4 linked regions of the Astyanax mexicanus genome follow. The protein of the gene in region 3 purifies or fractionates together with the protein of the main gene of each other region. This does not show direct contact. Links are inferred from orthologs where the notes say so. Each region holds a gene or a part of one and is shown on either strand. Other genes may lie near its edges.

Region 1 (6,849 bases), on a different chromosome or scaffold from region 3:
TTTACCTGGAGGGTGCATTCCAGCAGGTGGGAAGGGCGGTGGTCCTGGGGGAGGTCCTGTAGCACCGCCCTGAGGGGAAGGTGTCCCTGGAGCAAGGGGCATGGGCATGCCAGGGGGCATTCCAGGTGGCATTGAGCCTGGGGGTGGCACAGGGGGGAATGCGCCAGGAGGAGGCATGCCTGCATGAGTTAAATAAGGAGTTAGAGAAAGAGAACAAACAATCAGATCTACTTTCATAAGGTTTTTAATCCCCACAACATCCCTGTATCAGTGCAGGTGTGTGCTTAACATAAAGATGTTACAGGATCAGATCAGAATTATTATTATTATTTTTTTTTCCACTGAAATCCTTTACAGAATTTCTACTGATAAGTCAAACATCAATCCATACACACCCACTCCCACCGATATCTCTATTTCCCATTTTCTCATTCTTGCCCTACCATCCCCACCCTCCATACCTTTTATACCCATTACACCGAACCCAAGGTGCAGTGCTGCAATTTGTATCACATAACTCATTTGTTCATAAATTAAGAAAAATATATATTAGAAATCCAAGTAATAACTGACCTGGAATGGGAATGGCTGCTCCCAGTGTGGTCATTACAGGCGTAGGTGCAGTGGGAGGGGGCGGGGCATCTGCAAACAGCTGATGTGGCCTATCAGCCTGCGAGAGAGGGTTCTGTGCAGCCAGGAGACGCTCGGCTGCTGAGCCGTGCCTCTCACCTTTGGAATCCTTCTTAAAGGCGTAAGAGACTGTGATGGGTCGATTACAGAGGTACTGGCCATTCATGGCTTCAATTGCAGCATCAGAGGCATCAAAACTGGCAAAGTTGATAAAAGCGTAACCCTTGGAGTTGCCTGTGTCCGGGTCACGCATAATCTTGGGTGTCTGAAGGATGACGCCGAAAGCACTGAAAGTATCATAAAGCAGCTTCTCGTCGATTTCGGGGTCCAAGTTCCCGATGAAGATGTTGGCACCCACGTCTAAGTTCTTGTTGTGTGCTGAAGCTTTGTTGACTCGTATTGGTTTACCATACAGCTTGATCATGTTCATGATCTTTATGGCATAATCAGCATCTTCCTCACTGAGGAACTCCACAAAGCCATAACCTATTGAATATATCACAGAACATGTAAATGAACAAGTTTGACATCATTTGCATATGCAGGTTAAATGTGTGGTTAGACCACACATGAATATTAGCTCCAGAACAACACCTTCCAAAAAATAGTGCACAGGATGGCACTAAAAATTATTCAGGAGAGCAAATGTTTGCACTTTATAAATGGTTATAAACAGTTAATCGGGAGACCACTTGCTGGTTGAAATATGACTGGAAGTTTTCCTAAAGCTTAGAACAGATTTATAGATAAAGTCACACCTTTCAACATAGAACCAATCAGCTTGTTGGTAACACCAGGAGAGGCGTACTGTTAATAAATTTCAAACAACTGATGACATGGCTGTAGAAAATTACACAAATACATTCAAGTTTTGGACAGATGCCTTTCAGTTTGGGATGGTTGTGAAAGAAGTTCACAATAATAGGAATGCAGATATTTTATAATTTATTAGGCACAAAGCAAAAAAAAAAAAAAAAAAAAAGAGAGAGAATAATGAATAAGACAATGAGAATGCACCAGCATTAAGCATTTTGGAGTGGAGCAGTGTGGAGCTCCTTAAATCACTCACTGCAATACACTCATATACTAATATAATTAATAATTATAAAAATGCACATAAATCATTATAATAATGCAATACATGGTTAATATGTCACTGTCTTTGTAAAGAATATATTTTGACTTGAAGCAATAAACATGCTTTTTAATGTAGTTAAATTGTAATGTTCAAGTACAACTTTCCCAAAAGACAACCATATAATTAAATTAATGTGCTGACACTTGGGTGAATTACTTCTACAGCTGTAAAACATATATAGACAATATGGCAGTAATACAATTCGTAAAAGAAAAACCTAGTCTGTTTGCTGCTTACTGTGCCCTGTTAAGCAGCAATTTCTTTTGGGAGTGATTAAAATACCACCTACCACTAATTATTTACTACATAATCAATTTTTTGGCAGCCACGCATCAGTCTGGTGTAGTGTTTGACATTTTTTGTGCAACCCACAAGCTGTGTGTCAGAGTGCTGTACTCACCCTGATGTTGCCCTGTGACTCTGTCTTTGGGCATGTGTGTGTTGACCACTGGTCCAGCTTGCAGGAAGAGTTCCCACAACAGCGGCTCCGAAACCTTTTCATCCAGACCGCCTACATATACCGTAGCATCTATGACAACAAAAAACAGGAAAACCACTTGTTTAGAAAAAATATATTATTTACATTAATGAATGGATTGTAACTATGAGCTTAAACTGGCTTCTTTCAGAAGTTCTATTTTAAAGTAATGCACTGAAGAGACAAATCAAATAACCCAAAAAAATCTGATCATTTGTTTGCTAAGTTAAATATTTAACTAACGTTAAATAGTTTGCACGGAAACAAAACACAGCGTTAGCATTAGCTAGCTTTAGCGAAGAATCAATGAATGAACTGCTAAGCTTTCCCGAGAACCATCCAGCAGATCTAGCGGTTAATAAAATAAACCAGAACCCGTATGGCTATATAACCACAGAGTTACACATTTCCATTTCTATTTATTTTTATTTCCATTCTCATCAGTATACTTTACAGTATACAACTTTACCTGGTTAACGTTAGTCTGTTTAAGAGTGAGTAAAGAGCTGCACTGTGACATAAAGAGCACGAGCTCCGAGAGTGTGATCATCACTCAGAGACAGAACCCAGCAGTCAGTAAAGAACGCGTGTCCTGTATCTATTAAAACACATTCAGACCGATATTTAATAAGATCTCTAACATCAGTAAGAGTTTTTTATTCATTTTCTTACCCTGGTTTCTTTCTGATATCGGACCCGCCGCCATGATGAACGACGCGCTGGCGGAAAAACGGAAGTTTGCGGGTGATCCTCTTCCGCTGCTAACACGTTTAAAAGTCCTTTTACTTTATAGATGTTCATCGTTTTAAAATAATTTACTAAATATAATTACAATAAATAGTTTCACCACACGAACAGGACTTTCTGACAGACATACACAAAAATAAATTTTAGTAAACAAAAGCTTTAATAAATATAATATTTTTACAGTGCTGCAATAAACATGGCTGCTGCAAACAGTGAGAATTAAGTTTATATTTTATTATACACAATGCACATTAGTAAAATCTGCCATTTCGTAAAATTATTTCTTTTTAAGCAGCTAATTATATTATTATATTGCCTGCTAGGAAAAAATACAGCATTTTTATTATAATAAAAAAGACACATATATTTGTTTATATACAGTTATATATATATATATATATATATATATATATATATATATATATATATATATATATATATATATATATATATATATATTTCATTTTTTTTGATGTCTCAAGCTTTGGTTCAAAGGGCTAAATATAGTTACTTTTACTTAAATCAAAGTTTATTAAATTAGTATTTTGCCTGTGTAAATGAAACTGTAACACAGATGGAATGCATTAGCATTGCCCACAGGGGACTAAATGATAGGCATGTTGAGGTGAGTAAATACGACTATATATGTATATGTTCCAAGTCCAGGTCCGGGGGTACCTTCCTGAAATAAATTTTTGCAACTTGGGAAGTCTGGGAATGTGGCCTTTATATATAACAATCAGTAAACACACTCATACACACTACCAAGCAAACACACACAGTAAACACTGAGATTACATAGCCAGAGTAAATGGCAGCAGTTTAGAGGCCAAACCTGCCCTAAAGATTTTTCTTACACCCTCATTAGATCCAGTGCTAAAGCAGTCCACATCCAAAGAGCATGTGACAGTAATAGTAACCATGCTTTTAACTGAGCAACTGCACTGTCAAAGTTTTTTTTTTTTTTTCGAAAGACACACTCAAAAAAAAAAAAATCAGCCTTCAAGGTAATAAAAAAATAAGAACAAATTCACATTTGACCTGTGATTGCAAATACTATTGCTTGTATCTTAGCTTGATCTGAACCTTTTATTAGTGGACAGATATTTTTTTTTTTACCAAATGCCAACTTTGGTCAAAAGTGTCTCTTTATAGAATTGTTTTTAATTTTATGTCAGTTTCATAATTCACAACTTACCTCTAGAGCCCTCTATTACAACCTTAGCCCCCTTGGCTAAAAAAAATCTACACAAAATAAATAAATAGTTCTCACTTCTCTGTAGACTGCAATGCAGTTTATAGAAACATCTAGATTTGCATGTGCATCAACCTGTGGTGAATTACATTATACAATTAATATTTATGTTCAATATTGTGATGAACCTAGTGTACCTCTAACTTTTCAGTGGGTAATTATACAGTCTGAGGACACACCTACATGTACTGATAAAAACAGAGCAAGGGCTGAATGGATGTGATTTTGTCACTCCCATAGACATTGTGTGGCGGCTGGTTTAACCTGTTTCTCCAGCTGCTCCACTATCTAAGTTTTGGAACTCAAGGAAGCCACTGCTAGTATGGAATATAACCTGTGACCAGAAAACTGATGGTTTAACCAGCCTGGAGATTCTATACATTTACAGGCACTGATAACTAACATTAGTTTACTGTGAATAGTACAAATGGGGACAGATTTAGGCTACAACTTTGTTTTTAAAGGTAAGACAGCTGATTCTGAGCTTGAACTCTAAATATTTTATCCAGAACTGCATCACTGCTTTTAGTTTAAAGATTTGTTTTGTTAGTTTATTTTGGGTTTATGTTTAGTTTACTATTATTACCTAAGGGATGGGGTTTTCCTCTTTTGGATTTTCTTTTATTGTCTTTAAAATAAATGCTACATTTGAACACTTTTCAGTTTAAAGAAATTGCAATTGTGATTATCCATAAATATTGTTTTTATAATTAATTTCTTCTTTCTCTCTCTCACTCTTTAGTGGTGTTAATTGGGGAATCTGGGGTGGGAAAGAGCAATCTGCTGTCCAGATTCACCAAAAATGAGTTTAATCATGACAGTCGCACCACCATTGGAGTGGAATTCAGTACGCGTACTATTCAGCTGGACACAGTGACCATCAAAGCACAGATTTGGGACACAGCTGGGCTGGAGCGGTACCGGGCCATCACATCAGCGTAAGTACACAACGGTCACAAAAGGCACATTTCCTCTCAATCTTAGAAAATAAATAAATTGGACTGTCTAAGCAATCTCTGAAGCAAACTGTGTGTACAAAAAATATGTTTTATTAACTAAAAATGTAACTAACTAACTGCAAACATGCCAACAGGTCCAAACTCTTATAACATAATAACATTATTCATTCATTCATTCATTCATTTATCTCTTTATCTAGATTGAATGCCCAGCATTGCAATATTGCTTGTGATATAATGACTGTAAACATTTCATTTGCAAATAATTCCTGACAGTTTGTCAGTATATTACCCAAAAAATACACACTTGCAAACATGTATTCATAAAGAGTATAAACACTACACAATAAAGTCTACACAATCTTTTTTTACGTAAATACCATTTATATATTTGTACTTGCTGTCCTGGCATTAATAACAATTTAACCTACATTAGGCTATAAAGGGACTGACATTAAAACTCAGTAATAATCTAGATCTCCAAAACACTAGGTCCTCAGTAATTTAACATGTAACATTTTATCTCCAGTAATCCAACTCTAGGTTCTTAGTAATATACCGTAGGTTTACAGCAATAACTATAGGTTCTCAGTAATCTAACATGTTATTTCTCAGTAATAACACCAGGTCTTTGGTAATCTAACATGTTGCACAGTAGTCTAACATAGTTTTACAGCAGTGACACTATAGGTACTATAGGTAGTAATCTACCACTGGGTCTTTAGTTGTACGTTTTCTCTATCATAATGCATCATAAGACTAAATAACTTTACACTATGATTTAGTTACCTGGAATTAAGATCTGAACAGGCTCTTTGGTAGTAATCTATTGTGGTCTCACAAGCAAGACACTTTATTTATTTCTGCTCCAGCACCACATGCTTTAGCGTAGGTGTAAAGCTGTAATATTTTGTATGTATAGGTATTACAGGGGAGCAGTGGGGGCACTCCTGGTTTACGACATTACCAAGCACCTCACATACGAGTATGTAGAGCGATGGCTAAAGGAACTATATGACCATGCAGATCCACACATGGTGGTCATGCTGGTGGGCAACAAGAGTGACCTGGATATGCAGCGCACCATTCCAACAGAAGAAGCTAAAAGTTTTGCAGGTGAATAAACTCTCAGTTCTATAGAAAACAAAGCATAGCTATTTTGATTGCGTATATACATGTATTTGCAATAGAGGAAATATAGATATTGCACAGTTCCCTTTTTTACAAAGTGTCTGTGAGAGATACAAGGTTTTTTCAGAGCTATACAATAGTGATGTACAGCTCTGGAAAAAATAAGAGACCCCTTAAAAATTATGATTTTTTTTAGATTTTACCAAATTGAAAATCTCTGTAATATAATCAAGAGAATATGGATGATCACAAGCCATCAAACCAAACTGAACTGCTTGAATTTTTGCACCAGGAGTGGCATAAAGTTATCAAAAAGCAGTGTGTAAGACTGGTGGAGGAGAACATGCTAAGATGCATGAATCCTTAGTTTATAGAATAAAACAACAATGTTCATTTTACTCAAACATAAACCTATAAATAGCACAATCAGAGAAACTGATTTAGAAACTGAAGTGATCTCTTATTTTTTCCAGATCTGTATTTAACATATTTAACATTTCATGTTATTTAC
Region 2 (7,165 bases), on a different chromosome or scaffold from region 3:
AATAGATCACTATATAATACATCTATATAATATGAGTAACTTTCCAATGAATTTTCTTTTTTAAAAAACACCTGTAAATAAAAACTTTTTAATTTGCAGTGCCAGAGAGTTGACTCTCTGCAAATTGTCTTTTTCTTGAGTGGGACATAAAACAAGATTTGTCTTGCATTTCAAATGTATGTTAATTATTTTGCTTTGCTTGCTTATTTGTTTTTTTTGTACACATTAAACTCTCGTTTTCTACATCATACCGCTATATTTAAATACTAGGGCTTGGTTTCACAGACAGGAATTAAGCCAAGTTGTGGTAAAACTGATCACAGTACATACAGCATTTTCAAGGTAATAATATGGAGTGCAAAAGCTTATGTGTGGGAGGAGCTAATACACTGTAGGGAAATATTATGACAGCTAGCAACATAGAAACATTTCTTTAGCCCTTTCTGGATGGGATTAGTTTCTTAGGAGGACGTCTGTGAAAAATATTTCACACTTCTACTCAGTAATAAACTCTTGCATCCGGACTGCAATGGAAAAAAGGGGACCAGTGAGGGTTTTTTTTTTTTTTTTGCTTTCTCGGTCACATGACATCGCGTTCAGTAGCTCCTCCATTCCCACTCATTGTTGTGTTTACATGGATCTCCAAGGAAACGCGCACCCAAATTGTAATTACAGTGCGTGGCAGTGAACAAATAGCCATTTTATTAAATGTGAGGTGACAAAACTCAAGAGATGTCCATCCGGATGGGACTAAAATTACCGGACGACCACAGAGTTCAGTGACAAACAGTAGGTAGTTCAGCCTGTAATTTTCTCAGAAGACGTCTGAGGAAAACACAAACATGGTCTTTCCGGACGGGTATAAAATATCACAGAGGACCCCCTGAGAAACAAATCCTGTCTAGATGGGGCTTTTAACAATTCAGATCGATTCAGATTTAGTTTGTTGCAATCTGACATTTCTTCAGCAGGGGGCACTGTTAGAACACAAGTAAACATAAAAATATATATCTGACAAAGTACCATGTTGGCACATCATTTCCTGGGCAGAAAATATGTGTAAAACACAAAGATTCTTCATTATTATCCACTGGAGTCGGAGCAAAGCACCAGTCTCATACTTATCCAATACTTCTACTACCTTGTAACTTTATCACATTGTGCCCCCCTAAGCAGGTTTTATATTTGCAGAAATAGCGATTTCCCCTCACTCAGTTTTTGCAATTGTTTGTCAAAAAATTCTAAATCTAAACAGAGAATTATACATTCGTAACAGAATCTGAAATCTAGTTCTGTGTGTAGTCATTGTAGTTTTATGACTGTATTTGTGTAGCAGAGTCACTCATGATCTTTAAACGCCAACTAAAGACTCATCTTTTCAAAGACTTCTTAAACTAATCTTTAAAATAATCATCTAGGGTTAATGTTTAATGTTCTTTAAACATCATCAAGCTTTAAGTATTTCTTGATCCTAGTCTCTACAAACTAGCTATGGATATTTTGAACTAAACAACGAAGCATTGATGTAAGAAGCAGCAAAACAGGCAAACGGCATGTAATGTCATGAGAGTGAAGTAGAAAAAAGGTGCTGCAAAGTATAGATAATTTATTGTAACAATTATGTTAACTACTCACATTAGTCTTCTCATATAAGATCATTTAAATCTGGGGTGCACAACTGGTCCTGAACAGCCAGAATCCTACTCAGTTTAGTGCTTAGTCTGCTCAAACACGTGATTCAACATCTCTGATTCAACACATCAGTTAATCATCAACCCTTTAGTCCAAATGGCTCCGTATACCAAATAAACAATTGGCCTGCTAACTAAAAAAAATAGGACATTGATCAGTACTTACACTCTGATTTGCCGGATGGGGCCGTATTTTCCAAATATGTCATACATTTCTTCTGCTGTGATTTTATAAGGAAGGTTACGTATGTACAATATCCTATTCACCTCCGGAGGCAAGCGAATCTGGGAGAAAAAAACAAAACAAAGATGTTCTGCTTAATGCTCAGTTTCAATAACAACATTAAAAGTCTTGATTTTCACACGTTACAATAAAACATGGGATTTGTCACACTGTTGAAAGATTTGGGACTTTAGACCAGACATTGAGAAATTTCACTCTCCTATATTAATAACAGCTTTAAAAGAGAACGCTCACATTAACACTTCATCAGAACCGACTGAGGTTTCTTATTTAAACTTGGTTTTGTAAAGTACACGAGTGTTTAGTGGTGCTATTTGGGTTTTCTATTAACGAGAAAGAAGCTCCGCAGTTGTGGATAAAAAGCCAGCTAGATACTGTAGGAAATGTCCAGCATGATTAGAAGACAAAACACACTAGCTAGTTAGCTTAGCCAGCCTGTAAGTTGGTCGTGTTTTTATCTACGTTCAGCTAACTAACGCTACAAAGTTTTACTAGTTTAAACCGCGTGAATGAAAACTCCCCAAACAAGAGCGAGTGTTTATCTAGCCAGCTAGCTTGGTTAGCTTAGATACCGTGTTAGCTAACTGTCTCGGTCAGGGCGAGCGGCTAAGCTAAGCTAGGTTGGTTAGTGTTTCTTACCCCATAGTCTTTAATACAGTTCTAGCCCGTTTGAGCTGAATGAGGACCTGATCATTCACTAGTGTTGTACAGTAAGACGGAGTCTATACAGTGTGTTTTAGTGTGTGTGATGAGTGTGAAACTCTGCTGTGGCTTTAGCTCCAACAGGCTAACGGCTTCCTCGATACAAAGAGGCCTGCTCACACCGGGCCTCGGTTTAAAGAGTAAATACAGGGAAACGAAATAAATAAACAAGACTTACGTTCGCGCGTTTCGCTGCTTGCATCGCCATGATCGAAAATCCTGATTAATGTTCCGCTTTTACACTGAACTAAACAGATACTCTGAACTCTCAGCGAGCTCCTCACCAACTCCCACACTACGCACTGACTTCAGGCGCACGATGACGCACTTCCGTGTAGCCGACACATACACGAATGCAGCTGCGTTAAGTGAGCAACAATAAGCAACGAATAAAGGAAAAAAAAACAACACAAAAAAAAACAAATAAGCAACGAATTATACCCGGAAGTGTTTCGTTTTTCGTGCTCCTCCTGAGTTTCCATTTCAAAATAAAAGCAATGAAGCTTTTGAATATATTACACAATTAAATATAGTTTTACCGATCTGGAGGGTTATCCATTGCTTTAGTGACGTCTCTGGTTTATATGTAACCATTTCTGTTACAAATTTGAGTGATTTAAAACTATTATTTAAACACTAGCCTTAACTTTAAACAGTAATATTAGTGTGAAATGAATCAGGGAGAGAATTTGGCAAAACAGTATAAAACATTTTTTATACCTCAACCATATATTCCATATTTACACATGCTGGGTCAGAAGAGACATTTACCCCTAGATGGCAGTAAGAGGTATGGTTGTTATCTTTTTTACAACTGTGAAAGCACTGACATGGTTCTTACAAACCGATCTATAATAATAATAATAATAATAATAATAATAATAATAATAATAATGATAATAATAATAATAATAATCAATATCAGTCTGCAGCCTAAACTATACATTGCGTCAACATAAACCCATAGTGAAATTAATTCAGCAGACCCTCCTCTGTCAGAAAACATGGAGTTTACTATCAAAAAAGCGTAATTGTAGATGTAGGAGTCATCACACTATAGGCGATACATGGTTATATCCCATTAAATGATATGAATACAGGGTGGGCATAGTTGTATCAGTCTGCAGCCTAAACTATACATTGTGTCAGCATAAACCCATAGTGAAATTAATTCATCAAACCCTCCTCTGTCAGAAAACATGGAGTTATCTATGAAAAAAGCGTAATTGTAGACGTAGGTGTCACTTATACTATAGGCGATACATGCCATTAAATTATCTTAATACAGAAAGGGCATAGTTGTATCAGTCTGCAGCCTAAACTATACATTGTGTCAACATAAACCCATAGTGAAATTAATTCATCAGACCCTCCTCTGTCAGAAAACATGGAGTTATCTATGAAAAAAGCGTAATTGTAGATGAAGGAGTCATCACACTATAGGCGATACATGGTTATATCCCATTAAATGATATGAATACAGGGTGGGCATAGTTGTATCAGTCTGCTGCCTAAACTATACATTGTGTCAGCATAAACCCATAGTGAAATTAATTCATCAGACCCTCCTCTGTCAGAAAACATGGAGTTATCTATGAAAAAAGCGTAATTGTAGACGTAGGAGTCACTTATACTATAGGCGATACATGCCATTAAATTATCTTAATACAGAAAGGGCATAGTTGTATCAGTCTGCAGCCTAAACTATACATTGTGTCAACATAAACCCATAGTGAAATTAATTCAGCAGACCCTCCTCTGTCAGAAAACATGTAGTTTTCTATCAAAAAAGCGTAATTGTAGATGTAGGAGTCATCACACTATAGGAGATACATGGTTATATCCCATTAAATGATATGAATACAGGGTGGGCATAGTTGTATCAGTCTGCAGCCTAAACTATACATTGTGTCAACATAAACCCATAGTGAAATTAATTCAGCAGACCCTCCTCTGTCAGAAAACATGGAGTTTACTATCAAAAAAGCGTAATTGTAGATGTAGGAGTCATCACACTATAGGCGATAAATGGTTATATACCATTAAATGATATTAATACAGAATAGGCATAGTTGTATCAGTCTGCTGTCTAAACTATACATTGTGTCAGCATAAACCCATAGTGAAATTAATTCATCAAACCCTCCTCTGTCAGAAAACATGGAGTTATCTATGAAAAAAGCGTAATTGTAGACGTAGGAGTCACTTATACTATAGGCGATACATGCCATTAAATTATCTTAATACAGAAAGGGCATAGTTGTATCAGTCTGCAGCCTAAACTATACATTGTGTCAACATAAACCCATAGTGAAATTAATTCATCAGACCCTCCTCTGTCAGAAAACATGGAGTTATCTATGAAAAAAGCGTAATTGTAGATGTAGGAGTCATCACACTATAGGCGATACATGGTTATATCCCATTAAATGATATGAATACAGGGTGGGCATAGTTGTATCAGTCTGCTGCCTAAACTATACATTGTGTCAACATAAACCCATAGTGAAATTAATTCAGCAGACCCTCCTCTGTCAGAAAACATGGAGTTTAATATCAAAAAAGCGTAATTGTAGATGTAGGGGTCACTTATACTATAGGCGATAAATGGTTATATCCTATTAAATGATATGAATACAGGGTGGGCATAGTTGTATCAGTCTGCAGCCTAAACTATACATTGTGTCAACATAAACCCATAGTGAAATTAATTCAGCAGACCCTCCTCTGTCAGAAAACATGGAGTTTACTATCAAAAAAGCGTAATTGTAGATGTAGGAGTCATCACACTATAGGCGATAAATGGTTATATACCATTAAATGATATTAATACAGAATAGGCATAGTTGTACCAGTCTGCAGCCTAAACTATACATTGTGTCAGCATAAACCCATAGTGAAATTAATTCATCAAACCCTCCTCTGTCAGAAAACATGGAGTTTACTATCAAAAAAGCGTAATTGTAGATGTAGGGGTCACTTATACTATAGGCGATACATGGTTATATCCTATTAAATGATATGAATACAGGGTGGGCATAGTTGTATCAGTCTCCAGCCTAAACTATACATTGTGTCAACATAAACCCATAGTGAAATTAATTCATCAGACCCTCCTCTGTCAGAAAACATGGAGTTATCTATGAAAAAAGCGTAATTGTAGATGTAAGAGTCATCACACTATAGGCGATAAATAGTTATATACCATTAAATGATATGAATACAGGGTGGGCATATAACAGAAGCAATAAAATCCTTTTGTTACCAGCAAACGAGATTACATCTGAAGGACTTGAGGTTTCACTAAAATCATTTTCCCAAATTAAGTGTAAGAAATGTGGAAACAAAGATTCAGTGTCAATTAATAAAAACGAGACCATTCATTGCCCTAAAACACTAATTGTATTATCAGACCAGTGCAATATTAAGCTAGATCAAAAAATAATGTTGTCTTCAGTGTTCAGTGATAATGTTTACAAAATTGGCGCCATTCTCTCTCACTATGAAACCCCCCCTTTTGCTAAACTTTTCAAAGCAGGAAACAGTGGCTGGACTGTCAATGGTGTTAACCATATAAATTATAGCTCTACCTTAATTAATAAAATGGTATCCCAATCAAAATCAGTTATAGTTGCTTTAGAGTTAGAAAATTGTATAGATATACAGAATTTAAAACTGCAGGAGACAAAACATAAATGTACAGAGCAATGTGAGAAAACCACCCCTTATAAACATTCAGATGTATTTTGGCAAAACCATGATGATCTTCCAAAAAACTTACTTAAAGAGGATTTAGAGTTAATCACAAGTGTAAGATGGCTAAATGACAGAATTATAGATGCTTACCTTGCCCTTTTAAAAGACAAAGCAACAGATCAAAAAGTGCTGATGTGTCCATCTACATTTGCAAGTCAACAGCTTTGCAGTTTATATTGTGAGAAAATTGATATTCTGCCAGATGCCCCAAATCCTGAAAGAAACTGGTGGAGATATAATACTGTAGTTGTTCCAATTAATTTAGGCTCTGTACACTGGGTTGCTGCTGTTCTTAATGTGTCAAAATGTGTCAGGTGAAAAAAGTATTGTGGCGTGGAAGAGGAAGGAAGACCCGTGAGACTCATGCTGAATGCTCAACAGCTTCTTTATTGAACAGGCTTGCCACTCACTTACAGCCTCTAACAAGACTAGGAGAGCTAAAACCATTAACCCACAGAGCTTAAATAGCCCAAAGGCCACCAACCCAGCTGTGTGTCTCCCAGATGGCACATCCAGAGTGGTGCCCACCCTCTCTGCATAACCCCTCCCAAGGGAGATGCCCCACCCCTGTCATCCTCGCACACAGGAGAACAGAAACATACCTGCAGGCAGCCACACACACAACCCAGAGCCGCCACATAGCCCCCCTCCCAAGGGTCAGCCGTCCCGGCGACCCCACCAACCCAACACAAACCCCGTGTACAACAGAACATTTTTTTTTTTTACAATCAATCGCAAACAAAGTCATTAAGGCGGGCGGGCGGCCTCCGTG
Region 3 (7,253 bases):
AAACATGTGGCCAAATCTACACAGAAATGGTTCACCGCACACAGAATCAAGCTCCTCCCATGGCCATCTCAGTCCCCAGACCTCAACCCCATTGAAAACCTGTGGGGTGAGCTGAAGAGGAGAGTGCAGAGGAGAGGACCCAGGTCGTTGGATGATTTAGAGAGAATGTGCAAAGAGGAATGGTCAAAGATCCCTCTTTCTGTATTCTCCCATCTTGTGAAACATTACAGGAGAAGATTAGGTGCTGTTTTGTTGGCAAAAGGGGGTTGTACAAAGTATTAACATCAGGGGTGCTAATAATTGTGGCACACATGATTTGATGTTAAATAATTATTTCTTAATGTGGGATTTTTTTCCTACTGAATAAATTCACTTGAGTTAAAGGTTGTATTTTACTCTTTTTTCCCATCGTGGTCCTATATTATTTTGAACAAAACTCAATTTATGAGAAGCTAAAGAACACATCTTAACCAGGGGTGCCAATAATTATGGAGGGCACTGTATAAACAGTGCAAGAACGCAGGTATATAAATATGTATAATTTAGCAGTGCAAATTTGCAAATATGTAAATGTCAGACAATATCAATTTTATTTAAATTTAAAAAAATATTTTTTTTTATTACAGAGTGAAAAATATCCTGTTAAACAGGATTATATGTGAAGCAGTAAATTAACAAAAATCACTATACTGTTCACGAGAGTCCTTAAATAGAAAATGTATTTTATCTGCGTGTAAATATGATAAATCCTGTGTACTGTGAAAATGTCTGTAAAGTATTGTAAAAGAACATTTTTTACCATATCACTCATCTCTATCACCAAGGGTAGTAAACTGCTTATATCAATGTTGGAATTGTAGTGTATCGACCGAAACTAAGACATATATCGTGACATAGATTTTTGCCATATCATCCAACCCTAATTTCACAACTAAAATACAGTACCAGTCTAATGATTAAATACACGTTGTAGAAAGAGAAAGTGAAATTATGTAGTAAACAGAAAAAAATAAAAAATACATAAAAAAAAAAAAGATTTGCTTTGTTCTTCACATTAATCTCCTGATCTAAACCTGATTAACTGAGATGGTGATTTGAGGTGATTTAATTGGGATGAGCTGGAGCTTCACAGAATGAAGGAAAAGCCGCAGCTATTGTTCAGCACCTCCAGGAACTCCTTCCTTCAAGACGCTGAGAAAACTATTCCAGGTGACTCTACTTCAGATTGACTATTGACTACTGATAAACTGAGCCAATCACAACACTCACTTTCAGCTCCCCTAATACTGCCAAGCCAACCACAACTTCTGTTTGTTGCAGAGAAAATACATTTCTGAAATAACGTGAAATTCTTGCCAATCAAATAAAGGTGAAAGCCTTGTGTTGTTTATTTATTCCATTTTACTTATCTCTTTTTTTTATTTGTTCATAATAAGTGATTATATGTTCGAGTCATGTAAGTGTCAAGTCAAAAAAGAAATTGATTAAAAATGTATTAAGTAATTAATTTGAATAAAAATGTGTGCTCAGGTGCTTTGTGGGCATGGTCAAACTTTAAAACATTTCCTGGGTATTATACTGTGGTGTAGGGGTGTGCCATATCGTATCGTACACGATAATATCGTAAAACATTTTTAATATCGTGATTGATATTATACCCTAAAATATCGTGCCATATCACCCATCCCATTTCCCATTATATATCTGCTAGAGACAGATTATTTCTGTCCAGTATCATTTATTTTACTTAATTTTATTTAACCCTGGATATATGGAGATATTTGGAGTGCATTACTATTAGTATCATGACATTCTGGATCATTGACATAAGTTACAAATCTGATAAAATTCTTGTATTTTTTAATATCTTACTTAGGGGTGTACAGTATTATATTGTATGTAATAATAAAATATATGTTTTTATTTTCTTGCAGTGTATGGTGTATTTTAAAAAAATATTTTTTATTATTTATTTTAGGGCCATATTGCCCACCCCTACTGTAGTGTAGTCGCTGTTGAAAGTCACTTTGAGGATGATTTTAAGCGGCTTTTTCATCTTCTCCAGGTGGCAAGATGGTGCTACAAAATCAGTTTTCTGGGTCATGGAGGAATGGAGAAGGATCAGAGGGAAAAAGGAGTATTTTGGGGGGTTTCTGGAGACAACCAAAGTGTGCAGATCTGTCCTCAAAGCAAAATGTTGTTAATTAGAAGAATTTAAAGTATAAAACCGATTCTGGTTTGTTTAACACTTTTTTTTATTTACAGAATTATTCAGCATGTGTTCCTGAATAGCTTTAATATCGCCTTCAATATTCAATTTACACTGTAAAAAGTCATAAAGAGAAAGAAACCACACTGAATAAGAACCAAACTTTTGGCTGGTACTGTATTTTAGTACTTCTACTCAAGTTTTCCTGTTTTTAATGAAGTGATAATTAACCCTGGGTATCTCTACTGCAACTCAAGCAGTTACATTATTTATTAACTGGGTTCTTCATCCAACACAGTTTATTCAGAATTATTCAGAGAGAAAATAAAGCTCTTAAAACTGAGACTCACCCTCTTTCTTGATCTTGTCGTTGACATTGTTGATATAGATGGTGTGGTTGGGTCTTATATCCATCTTATTAAAGCTGAAGAAGGATTTTCCTGCAGAGAAATTAAAATAAATAAATCAGTAAAGTAGTCTAGTTGAGTAAACAGAGCAGAGCTGGGGTATAGAGCTACACAGGACACACAGGGCAGTTAGCTGTTAGCTTAGCTAGGCTAACTACCTAAATAAACAGCTAATTAAAGTAAATTAAACGCTACTCTGCTGTTTTAAGCGCTTGATAAATTAAATTAAATCGCTGTAATGTTTCTCGCTATGTTAAATAACAGTTTAACTGTAAATAACTCACAGTTTGGATGAATGTGCGCCGTTCAGTCAGTCCACACCGCTGTAACTTACCGCCGGAAAGCGCTTCTCTTCTCTGCTCAAGTTTACGCCGAACGGCGTTAGTGTGGCGCCACCTGCTGATCCGGAGGAACGAGTAATTACCATAGACTGTATATAAGTATGGTGGTCTCTAAGGTCTATGATCAAAAACATCCAATTTCTTGCTCTTTTAGAACTTTTTTTGTTATATATTTGAAGAGACTGTTGGTATATATATTGTATATTTCCGCCGACCCTTCATTTGACCACAAGGAAAGATTTATAGTAAATTTAATTGAGCCATTTCACCAAATTTCTGTCCCCAGGAAATTACAATGTGCACATAAAATACATTTTATTATTAAGCATAGTGTATTGTACAGTGTCCTAAATGCAAATTTATGGTATGTAATTTTAAATAATTAAAAACACTACTTAGAACACTAAAAAATAGCATTTGTTACCTGTACCCTCCTCTCTAACTATAAACTTTACCATAAAAATATATATAAAATTCTTCAGAGATGTACATTGTTTGCATTATGTGACTCCAAATCCCATCTATGCTTTATTTTTTTTTTTCATAATAAATCCATAATATTTAAGTTAAAATACACATTTTAGTTGTGTCCCTGGGGTTTCACTCATTTCTGTTACCGTAAAACATTACCCCATCTGAAACAAGTTAACAACAACAAGTCACATCTAAAATAGGAAGTGACATCATGTGCTCAGTGTCCGCATGCTATTAACACAGAAGCCATTTAGCTATTTTTCATGTTTTTGCTAATTCTCAAAGCTAAGGAATGCGAACTCATTCCTGTTACTCAAAACATAAAAATAATAGTGAGTGCCAGTAACAGGAGCGAGTTCCAGGAACAGGAGTGAGTGCCAGTAACAGGAGCTTTTTTTTGTCATAAATATCAATTATTTGAACATGCAGTCAACCATTTCTTTAAAATAAAGACTTTCTTGAAACATGCTTTTTAAATATTACATGAGTTTTGTAACCATCTTTGGATTAGAAACCAAAGAAATTAAATGCATAGGTTATTAGATTCAGACAATAATAACTTACATACTACCATTTCATTAAACAAACACTTGCAATAATGTGATTTTAATTATTAGTTTAATGATGAAATAATATACAAACTTAAAGGCAAATTATAGACAATAATCACATCAACACACGTTTGTACTGTATAAAATATGCATTTTTATTACTTTGATATTAAGAAAATATGCATAAAATACAACATGACAATTCCAGCAGACACTGGACTTTAGTGCTGAAGCTGCAGAACTAGCTCTGGAAATCTACTCCGAGTGTGTGTGTTAGTGTGTGTGTGTGTGTGTGCTCAGAGTGTGTCGACGGTCTGTAATCGGCGCTCAGTAAAGAAGCGATGCGTCTCCCGAGTTTGTGTCTGGCCGGCTGGTTTGTTGCGGCCGAAGTACGACAGCATGGAGGTGTTGTTTTGGCGAGCTGCTGCTTTCTCACCATCTTCCTCGTCGTCATCCCTACACACACACACACACACACACACACAAACACACACACAAATATTAATAAACTTTTTTTTTTACGCATGTGTGGTTTTTGTACTTATTATGCGTTAATTGTAGAAAAACAGTACAAATTTCTTACTTAAATTGTGCCAAGTGTACTTAACTGTACTAAAATGAAACTTTTAAATATACTTGGGTAACATTTAAACATACTACTTTATGTATTGTATGTTAAATATGTATGTGATCTATTTACATTAGAGAACAAATATGCTTCTTGGTCCTGTCTTTGTAAGTAGCACACTTCTAGTATTCTTTGTTGCATATAAAAATATATTTTAATATTCTGTACTACAATTTTTTGCGTGTTCCAATTTCACTTTAATTTGTAAAATGAATAGTAGTAATTTAATTTACTTTCTAAAAAGTTAACTGCTACATTACATACAGCTGTTTTTAACACACTTTGCTAAAAACATTTTTGTACATTCGAAAAAGAACAAAAGTTTTTTTTTTAAATACATTTTGTACATTTGAAAAATAAAAATTATATTTTTTAAAATAAGTATTTTAGAAGGATATTGAATTAAATACAAAAAAACTAAAAGGTGTTTCCTCAGGGCCTGCATGGAGGAAAATTATCTTAATACAGGAGGTTGTGAATTGCACAGTAAACAAAAATAAAATAATACAGTGATATACCACAAAACCATCAGAATCTTAAAAAAAAAAAAAAAAAAAAAAAAATTATCACTGTCCATCACTTGTAAGGAGCTTCTGAATAATTTATCTACTCTAATGCCAGTCTTGCTTTCTAGTCATTCTCCCCAGGCTGCTAAGCACTGCCCCCTGATGGTGAACTCACCAGTGTACTGTAACTGCTTTACTGTCCATTAGTGTCTGTGCTGTGCTCCAGCTGAACCGCACAAACTGAGGATATCCAAACACTGGATCCAGATACTTCAGCATCCAGCTCTTAGTCTTTGGATCTGAACACACACAAACACATTAACACAACACGGACGCATCACTGCAAGTTCTGCATGATTACAAATAACCATATTAACGATGCTGACCGTTGTAATAAAATAATATAGTCTCATGTGTTCCTAGTTAGTTTAGAGTAAGGTGAATGAAGTGGTGCGAGTGCTGACCGTTAGGGTATCCTGAACCGTACTCCGTGTCCACCTCCCCGAGATCTTCTGCAAACTTCCAGTCTTTCACTACTCGATCTCTGGCCACCTGTCAGAGATTCCCACAAACATTAGTGACTACTATTTATATATAAAAAAAAAAAAAATAATAATAATAATAATATCATATAGTATATTTTTATCTGATTAAATCACTACAAAATTCTGTGATTAACTGCAATTAATCACATTTGTTTTACTTTCAGATGCAAATTTTTCTAGTGGATATATTTATATTTAAATGTAAATAAAAGAATGACTGCAAGAAAAGTAAAATGCAATTACTGTTTATTAGTGGCGTCAATTATATATTGTATATTTGAGAGGAGACAAAATCAACGCAGGGTGATGAAATAAAGAATGCAGGGATGAGGAGCAGGGCAGGAAAGTGTGTGTGTGTGTGTGTGTGTGTGTGTGTGTGTGTGTGTGTGTGTGTGTGTGTGTGTGTGTGTGTGTGTGTGTGTGTGTGAGAGAGAGAGAGAGAGAGAGAGAGAGAGAGAGAGAGAGAGAGAGAGAGAGAGAGAGAGAGAGAGAGAGAGAGAGAGAGAGAGAGAGAGAGAGAGAGAGAGAGAGAGAGAGAGGGGGGGGGGTAAATTACGGCAGAAGTAGGGGTCAAACTTGGTGCCTTAACTAATTTGCGTTAAAAAAATAGTAACGCATTACTGATTCCAAATTAACAGCGCGCGTTAACCCTTTAACGTTGACAGCCCTAATATTGCATTATTTCAGAATATTTTTTTTATAATATTCTAGGCAAAATGACCAAACATTCAATTTAAAAAAAAAGAATTTAAATACTTAACTACTGCAACAAAATTCATATTAACGTTTATTTGGAGATATTGTAGAAGACAATATGAAACGGCACACCCATAATTGGGATTTTCACCAGATTGTAACAGTCAAAGTCAACGAAAAAACGTGATGATACTAATAATGCACTCCATATATCCATGATAGATATAATCTGTGTCTAGTAGACATTTAATGGGAGAACAGTGTGAATTTTCCATTTACTACAAACAGCAAAAAAAGCATAATATCTCAATATTTCATTGTATTTTTACAACATTTTTATTTAGTACATTTTACCTGTTACCAGTCAACTGTAGTGATTCTGATCCAGTATGAATCTGCAGAATGTGCAGAATTCACAGAAACAGAAACAGCTGGAGTGATTATGATCCAGTATGATTATGCAGTACAGTTCTACAGTCTCACAGCAATTCTAGTGCAGTAATTTTAATCCAGTATGAATCTGTAAAACGTACAGTGTATGTATAGTTGTGAGTTTACTGGTGAGTATTTGTGTTTCCGCTGTATGAATGGGTTAAAAGCAGAGGACACATTGCACCTGTCTCTAACTTGTGCTGAACTTCATTTTCATGCTTTACTTGCTCCACACTCACCTTGGCACAGATACTGGCTGCACTGACTATGGGGAAGAGAGAGTCTGCTTTGGGTCGCACTGTAACTTTTATTCCAGGAAAACGTTTAGACAGCTTCTCCTCGTACTTTTCTGCTGGACCCACTGTATCCACAAATACCTGCAGAGACAGGAGCACAGACACTTCATTAATTTATTACACACTTACTGTTAGATAGTCCTATATCAATAAAGACTAGCTAGTTTC
Region 4 (7,480 bases), on a different chromosome or scaffold from region 3:
AGATCTCCGACGTCAGAGTAGATTTATTTGTGCACATTGATTTTACTGTTATTCAACACTGATTCAAATGTCATGGTTTTATATGTATGGTTTGTATTAAACTTTACTTACATGAAATACATACATGTTGTTTTTCCATCATCAACATTAAAAGATGTAATGCATCCAACAAATAACATTTAATATTCTCTGCTATCAGGGGAATGTAGGAGAGCCAAAACCACTCAAACCATTTAAATAAACGTTGATTCAATGTCAGATTGCAAAACTAACCAGTGAATATTAGGCCATGTTAAATAAAGTTGTTTTCCCCTCATCAACACTAGAAGATACAATAACTCAATGCAACTTAAAATGATGTTTAAATCAATGTTCTTTGCTACCACAAGAGTGTAGAAGAGCCTCACTAAAATCCCTAAAAACCTTTTAATAAAAGTTTATTCAATGGCATAATTTGAACACTAACTGGAGCCTATTAGGAAATGCTAATAAATGTGCTTTTTTCCCCCCCCATCACCATCAAGAAAATATGTAATACATCTAAATAATAAAGTTTATTTATGTTCTTTGCTATCATCAGAGTGTAGAAGAGCTCAGCCCAACCACTTAAAACCTTTAAATGAACGTTGATTCAATGTCAGACTTGCAAAACTAACCAGTGAATATTAGGCCATGTTAAATAAAGTTGTTTTCCCCTCATCAACACTAGGAGATACATGAACTCAATGCAACTTAAAATGATGTTTAATCAATGTTCTTTGCTACAACAAGAGTGTAGAAGAGCCCCACTAAAATCCCTAAAAACCTTTTAATAAAAGTTTATTCAATGGCATAATCTAAACACTAACTGGTGCCTATTAGGAAATGCTAAATGTGCCCCACCATCAATACAAGGTGTAATACATCCAAATAATAAAGGTTATTTATGTTCTTTGCTATCACCAGAGTGTAGAAGAGCTCAGCCCAACCACTTTAAACCTTTAAATGAACGTTGATTCAATGTCATATTCGCAACACAAACTAATGAATATATTAGGTAATGTTAAACAAAGGTTGGATAAGAGTTGTTTTTCAATCAACAACATTCAAAGTTGTAATGCAAAAAAAAACGTTTATTTAATGTTCTTGGCTATCAGGGTACTCACCGTTTACCCCGAAGATGTGGAGGGGGTACTCAGCCGCGGTGAAGATGAAGGTGAGGAGGAGGAGAGATGATGCCCGCATGTCCAGAAATACCAACACTGGGTCTGCCTGCCGGTGATTTACACATATTTTAGGAAATACACAGACTCCAGTCATCTGAAGCACGGCCTGTGACTACGACAGCTTCCTTTCCGTTCAGCAAAATAACATAAGTAGCCCGGTTTCACTTTCACTTAAACACACACACACACACACACACACACACACACACACACACACACACACTGCGCACACAAACACTGAGCACACACCGCAGAGCGTCCCAACACTTCGCGTGGGCTGGGGGTATAAATAACGCCGTGGGTCACAGTGGATCAGGGTAGCATATGGCGGTGCTGTACCGAGCTGTGTTCCTCAGGCAAAATTATATTTTCCACAGAGCTCCTTCAGTCCAGACCGGAGACGTCCCAGTCACTGATCCACCAACATCAGCGGGAAAGAGTAAAGTACACTATACACTGTACTTGTAACTTGTAACACTGTACTTGTACACTAACCTGCTGCTGGAGGTTACTTCACCATATGACTTCTCCACTGAACTAAGCTCCGCCCACTGGGGCTTCAACCCAATAACCAACCAACGCCACGCTAGTTTATATATATATATATATATATATATATATATATATATATATATATATATATATATATATATATATATATATATATTTAAATATCCTTACATGTTCAGAAAGTGCGGTTTGTGCATGTAGCAAATATACTGAATTTATACATAAACCTTGTGTAACAATATGTTAAAAATAAAATTGCTTTTAACAAAAACTTATAAACTTGTAAACTTTGATCTCATTTACCAATATATTTGAGATTTTTTGTGTTAGCATGACTCCCTTTCAATTATGGCTACTACCATTAGCATTACTACCACAGTGTTAGCATTACTACCACGCTTTTATCATCGCTAGCATCACTACCACAATGGGCACTATTTGCTGCGTAAAAAAAAAAAAATAATAATAATAATAATATACGTATATATATATATATATATATATATATATATATATATATATATATATATATATATATATATATATATATTATTTTTTTTTTATTTTTTTATTATTATATATATATTATATATATATATATATATATATATATATATATATGTATATATATATTCGTATATATACATTACATTTAATGTTATTTTAATTTTCTTCCCCGGATGCAAAATTATAAAAATTGAGAATAAAGTAAAGGTTGTCTTTTTTCGTTTTCCAAAAAAAAAAAAAAAGATTATTATTATTATTATTATTATTATTATTATTATTATAAATAATATTTGTCGTAAAAAGCACTGTTCGAAATCATCCAAAGGTCCAGGACACTTGTTGACATGCTTATCTCTGTTAATAGGTAAAAGGTTTCAGGCACTCTGCCTGAATTGTTTCACTTTTATTTTCATTATACTACTTGTTTATTTTTTAAACCCTGCCTGGCGGCTCTGTTCTTCTCGGTAATAGAGTGATTTACTGTATATCAGATGGGAGGGTGAGCTAGGCGTGACAGACCTTTATTGTTTCGGTTTGAGCCTCTACCACAGACATTCCCTGCTATCAATAAAGAAAAGGTTTTAAAAAATGTTATTGACATTGCTAATATTGTAAAGATTTGATTTATTATATTGTTATTTTCTGAATTTATATGGACAAACGTGTATGTCATCTAAACTAATCATTACAATTTATACTGTGTTTTTGAAAATCATTCGAGCATTGCCAAATAAACTATTGTAATACTTTATTATATAAGTATTTCCTTACACCCCTATTTGGTAGCCAAAATATTTCAATACACTAACAAAAAAGATCAAATCAAGTATGCGTATTCATGATATGCATCTATTTATGTTATGTATTAACATAGTCTAAGTTTAAATTTTACAAAAAAAAAGACATTTTGCCATTTCAAAAGGGGGCGTTTCTGTAGAACGACCCTTTTACATTGACTTTTATTTAAAGTTAGAAAGATTTCTCTACAGCTATATGACCCCATATTACCCGGATTGTTTAGGACAGGGCTATTAGAGGGATTTGGTAGCAATGGCTCCACCTTGTGATCGTCTTTAAAACACAAGCTCTGCTTAATTCTGCTTAAATCTACTTAAAATGACAGTACTTTTGGACTATTTAGCATATGTTATAAGACTTCAGACTACACAGAAATTATTATTGTCCTGCTTGATCACTTAATATTTTCATTTTTTGTCCTTTTATGGATGTGTCCATCTTGTTATGGCAAGCTGTACTATAGAGTGGACAATTACAGGGTGGAACATTTTAATGATTTTTTGACATTGTGTTTATGGGCTTATTATGGAGTAACATCTGGCTGTTATATTGCGTTCTTTAGAAACACAAGCCTCATATTAATAAACTACACAGAGATATATAGTAAATTCACAGCATCCAGCAGACTGTGCGGTTTAATGCCAATTTGGTCTGACTGACTAAAATTGACTGAAGGAAAGGCTGTTTTCTTACAGGTGGACAAAACCTGTGCTAAGACTTTTCTGCCCAGAGTTGTTGGGAAATCTGACTTATTATGGTTCCATCACCTGGCACAGACAGATAATAAGTCATTATTCTGACATAAGTCGTTATTTTGAGATAATAATTATTTTGACATTCTAAGGGGTTATTTAAAGATTATTTTTGCTGACTTAATATCTCAAAACAATGATTTAGCATTTTAAAATAATGACTTAGTTTCTTAAAATAATGGCTTAGTATTTTAGTTTTTTGCACAGTTAAAATAAATTTAAAAATCTGGATTTCACCTGGCAGTGTCTATACAGTATCCTTGTGGCAAACCTTCACTCCATAACTGTTCAAGTCTACACTACCACACCACACATAGTATCTTAATGACTTAGTATCTCAAAATAATGACTTTGTATCTTAAAATAATGGCACAGCATCGCAAAATAATGACATAGTGTCTCAAAATAATGATGTAGTTTCTTAAAATAATGACATTATCCCAAAATAATGACTAAGTATCTCAAAATAATGACTTAGTATCTTAGAACAATGACTTAGTATCTCAAATTAATGACTTATTATATCAAAATAATGTCTTAGTATCTCAGAGTAATGAGATAATATCTCAGAATAATGAGATATCAGTTTATAGTAGTAATGCTAGGTGCTGGGTTTGTGGTTGTGATAGGTGGGAGTGTGGACTGTGTTGTTGGATGATGCTGAGCTTCTGTGATTCTCACACTAGAGGGCAGCACTTCGTTTGGCCACTTTTGATGACGTCATTAGAAGCGACGAGGAGACGGCGCGTTAGCATGCTGTGCTAAATGTGGTGGAATATTGAGGTTTCTCGCTCCCGTTTGGAATTTAATCACAGGTATTTACTAAAAGATGGTCTAAAGTGCTTTTTAAACCATCAATACTATCAGTGCGTGGTAGGGTATTTTAGCTGTGGTCACAGTTAGCGCTGGGGCTGGCGTGGGAAATGGTAGCTAGCCAACCTGGCTAATGAAGCTTAGCCTGTGTTTTGTGTGTGCTTTTTGTGTTTAGAGACATTTCAGGCACATTTTATTTTTTGTTACATAGCATATGATCAGTTGAGATCATTTTAAGCTGTATAACACCTCAAACCTCTGCTAAAACCAGCCTGAATGTGTTTAGAAGACAAATAGCCAAACTGCATCGTTTTGTTGGGTCTATTCTGTGCACCAGTACTGTGGTTTTACAGTGGAGTTGGTGCACAAACTGATAACTGCATCGAATTCTATTTTCTGGATGCCTAAACTATGTGAATGTGCTTTAGAATTAACTTTGGTCTAATTTTAAGAGAGTAAAAAAATAACAAAATCGTCCAACCAAAATAAACCATTAACAACACACTGTTGTACAGTAGAGTAGCATACAATCAACTGTATCAGTGCCAAACTAATACCATTACATATATGGAATATTTCTGTCTGTCTGTCTCACTCTCTTCAAGTCTCTCTCTCTCTCTCTCTCTCTCTCTGTTTGTCTGTGTCTGTCTCTCTTTCTCTCTCCCTTTCTGTCTCTGTCTCTCCTTCTGCTTCTTTGTGTTTTTGCTCTCTCTCTCTCTCTCTCTCTCTCTCTCTCTCTCTCTCTCTCTCTCTCTCAGTCTCTCTTTGTCTCTCTGTGTGTCTCTCTATCTCTCTGTCTCGTTATTTCTCTGTCTGTTTCTTTCTCTGTCTGTCTCTGTGTCTCTTTCTATCTCTCTCTGTCTCTCTGTGTGCCTGTCTCTGTGTCTCTTTCTCTGTCTTTCTGTCTGTGTGTCTCTCTCTCTTTCTTTCTCTTTCTCTGATATTACAGCACTGATTAATTAGTATATACCGGTATACCTTCATCCACCTCAAAGCTTATCAGTTTCCTTAAAAATAGATTTCTGCTGGGATTTTCTTGTCAGCAGGACAAGAAGAGAAGTGTGTGCAAATTTAATAAGCACCAGAACAGGCTTTTTGTTACACACAGCTTCAGCATAAACTACAAGTACTCAGACATTAACTTTTATTTAAAAAATATGAACCTTTTAACAACTGTAGTGATCATTAACCAGTTTTGGTAATAACCAATTTTCCAAATCACTATTGGCAAAGCAGACAAGAACCAGTGCTTCCCTAATAAAAAAACAAGTTAATGAGTTCTTGTTCTTGTTTCATGAGTTATATCTGCAGGTAATGAAAGTAATGCAAACTGTTGATGTGTGGAAAATAAAATGAAACAAGTGTAACATTCTCTACATTCATTGTGTTGTGTGATCAGGTGAACCAATGTCTCTTTACGATGATTTGGGGGTCGCTACCAGTGACGCCAAGACTGAAGGATGGTCGAAGAACTTCAAACTGCTTCAGTCGCAGCTGAAAGTGAAAAAAGCTGCTCTGACACAAGCAAAGGTTTGCATTCTGTTTTTATAACATTAAACTGCAGATGTTCTGTGTTGTCTGTATTATGTAGTACCATTATATCTTTACTTAAACCTGAAATTGGCCTGGAAATAGATCTTTGTTTTCCCCCTTCGCAGACGCAGAGGATGAGACAATCCACTGTTTTGGCTCCAGTTGTTGATCTCAAGAGAGGAAGTGACGAGCGGCAGATTCCAGACACACCCCCACATGTAGCAGCAGGGCTGAAGGTGAGTGAAGAAAGCTGGAACAGTGTTCTCTGTATTGATGGAGGTCTGTCCAATACTTTTAGATGAGATAAGTTAGGGATTAAAATAATAATAATAATAATAATAAGAAGAAAATTATTGTAGAAATAATGTAGAATTTTTTTTCAAGATACTGAAGTAAATGCTATTTAGTATATGCATAAATATTGCAAAAATACAGAATATACTCTTAATGTTTCCCAAAAAATAATTATAGTATTTACATGATATAGAATTTAAAATCACAATGTTACTGCCACAATATATTGGGCATGGTATGGTATGGCTCACCACTATTATACAGTATGATACATTCTTTTGCAAATCTTAAGGCATTATAAGAACTGTTTAGTTGGGTAGCTTCTTTATAGCAGCTATTTTAAGTTTATATTTTTGTGTGTGACAGGACGTACCAGGTGGCTTTTCTGCAGGTGATGTCCTAATCCCGCTCCCGGATGAGTATGATCCCATGTTCCCAAATGACTATGAGAAAGTGGTGAAAAGACACAGGGAGGAACGTCAGAGGCAGAGGGAACAGGAGCGGCAGAAGGAGATCGAAGAGAGAGAGAAGTATGCACATTCCACACGTACCCTGTCTGTACACCAATGCCCTGCTGGTCCTGTTCACCTGGGTTTAGTTTTTTTTTTTTTTATGCTTTTTCAATAGACAGTGTGATTTGGTGTATTTATGATATGTTTGAGAAATTTATGAGTATTTTACCTCTTCAGTAACGCAGATGCCGTGAGGTGTTCAAGAGAATTGTCTTGTGATATATCAGATATCACGGAACCACAGTATTGGGATATCATTGTTATTGTGGTAATTGTAATTGTTTCGTGTGATGGCCTGAAATTCCTACTCCTATTACTATATTAGCCACTCTTTAAAGCCTCTTTAAAGAAATATTGTGCTGGTCATTTCGTACTGCCTGGTTTGAGTTTCAGTTGCCTCTCTTGTTTGTCGAAATAGGAAGCGAAAGGAGCGTCATGAAGGATCGGCCCCCAGTGGTTTCTCACGTTTCCCCACAGAGGCAGATTCAGATGAGGATGAGGAGTATGAGAAAGAGAAGAGGAAGAGGAGTGGGTGTCTTCTCAAACTATAACAAAT

Evidence for each region.
Region 1: the proteins of snrpb2 (region 3) and sf3b4 purify together in Homo sapiens (affinity purification with mass spectrometry; 4 studies listed by BioGRID and IntAct, with this or other methods). This does not show direct contact. The link is inferred for Astyanax mexicanus from reciprocal best matches to the Homo sapiens genes SNRPB2 and SF3B4.
Region 2: the proteins of snrpb2 (region 3) and sf3b6 purify together in Homo sapiens (affinity purification with mass spectrometry; 4 studies listed by BioGRID and IntAct, with this or other methods). This does not show direct contact. The link is inferred for Astyanax mexicanus from reciprocal best matches to the Homo sapiens genes SNRPB2 and SF3B6.
Region 4: the proteins of snrpb2 (region 3) and rbm17 purify together in Homo sapiens (affinity purification with mass spectrometry; 3 studies listed by BioGRID and IntAct, with this or other methods). This does not show direct contact. The link is inferred for Astyanax mexicanus from reciprocal best matches to the Homo sapiens genes SNRPB2 and RBM17.

Annotation. Positions count from the first base shown.
Region 1 is NC_064410.1:32,707,362-32,714,210, reverse strand, and holds the start of sf3b4 (splicing factor 3B subunit 4), read right to left. Parts: upstream 3,018-6,849; 5' UTR 2,953-3,017; coding exon 2,919-2,952; intron 2,298-2,918; coding exon 2,169-2,297; intron 1,117-2,168; coding exon 574-1,116; intron 180-573; coding exon 6-179; intron 1-5. Other genes in the region: rab25a (ras-related protein Rab-25a), read left to right, coding at 4,676-4,712, 4,991-5,186, 6,130-6,323. UniProt on the Homo sapiens protein: Component of the 17S U2 SnRNP complex of the spliceosome, a large ribonucleoprotein complex that removes introns from transcribed pre-mRNAs.
Region 2 is NC_064408.1:59,524,616-59,531,780, forward strand, and holds the start of sf3b6 (splicing factor 3B subunit 6), read right to left. Parts: upstream 3,007-7,165; 5' UTR 2,846-3,006; coding exon 2,816-2,845; intron 1,977-2,815; coding exon 1,858-1,976; intron 1-1,857.
Region 3 is NC_064428.1:32,565,036-32,572,288, forward strand, and holds the start of snrpb2 (U2 small nuclear ribonucleoprotein B''), read right to left. Parts: upstream 3,007-7,253; 5' UTR 2,901-3,006; intron 2,650-2,900; 5' UTR 2,624-2,649; coding exon 2,560-2,623; intron 1-2,559. Other genes in the region: rnaseh2a (ribonuclease H2 subunit A), read right to left, coding at 4,279-4,438, 5,292-5,415, 5,581-5,668, 7,029-7,166. UniProt on the Homo sapiens protein: Involved in pre-mRNA splicing as component of the spliceosome. Associated with sn-RNP U2, where it contributes to the binding of stem loop IV of U2 snRNA.
Region 4 is NC_064409.1:20,777,486-20,784,965, forward strand, and holds the start of rbm17 (splicing factor 45), read left to right. Parts: upstream 1-4,461; 5' UTR 4,462-4,587; intron 4,588-5,984; 5' UTR 5,985-5,992; coding exon 5,993-6,115; intron 6,116-6,243; coding exon 6,244-6,354; intron 6,355-6,778; coding exon 6,779-6,942; intron 6,943-7,342; coding exon 7,343-7,452; intron 7,453-7,480. Other genes in the region: il15ra (interleukin-15 receptor subunit alpha), read right to left, coding at 1,146-1,299. UniProt on the Homo sapiens protein: Splice factor that binds to the single-stranded 3'AG at the exon/intron border and promotes its utilization in the second catalytic step. Involved in the regulation of alternative splicing and the utilization of cryptic splice sites.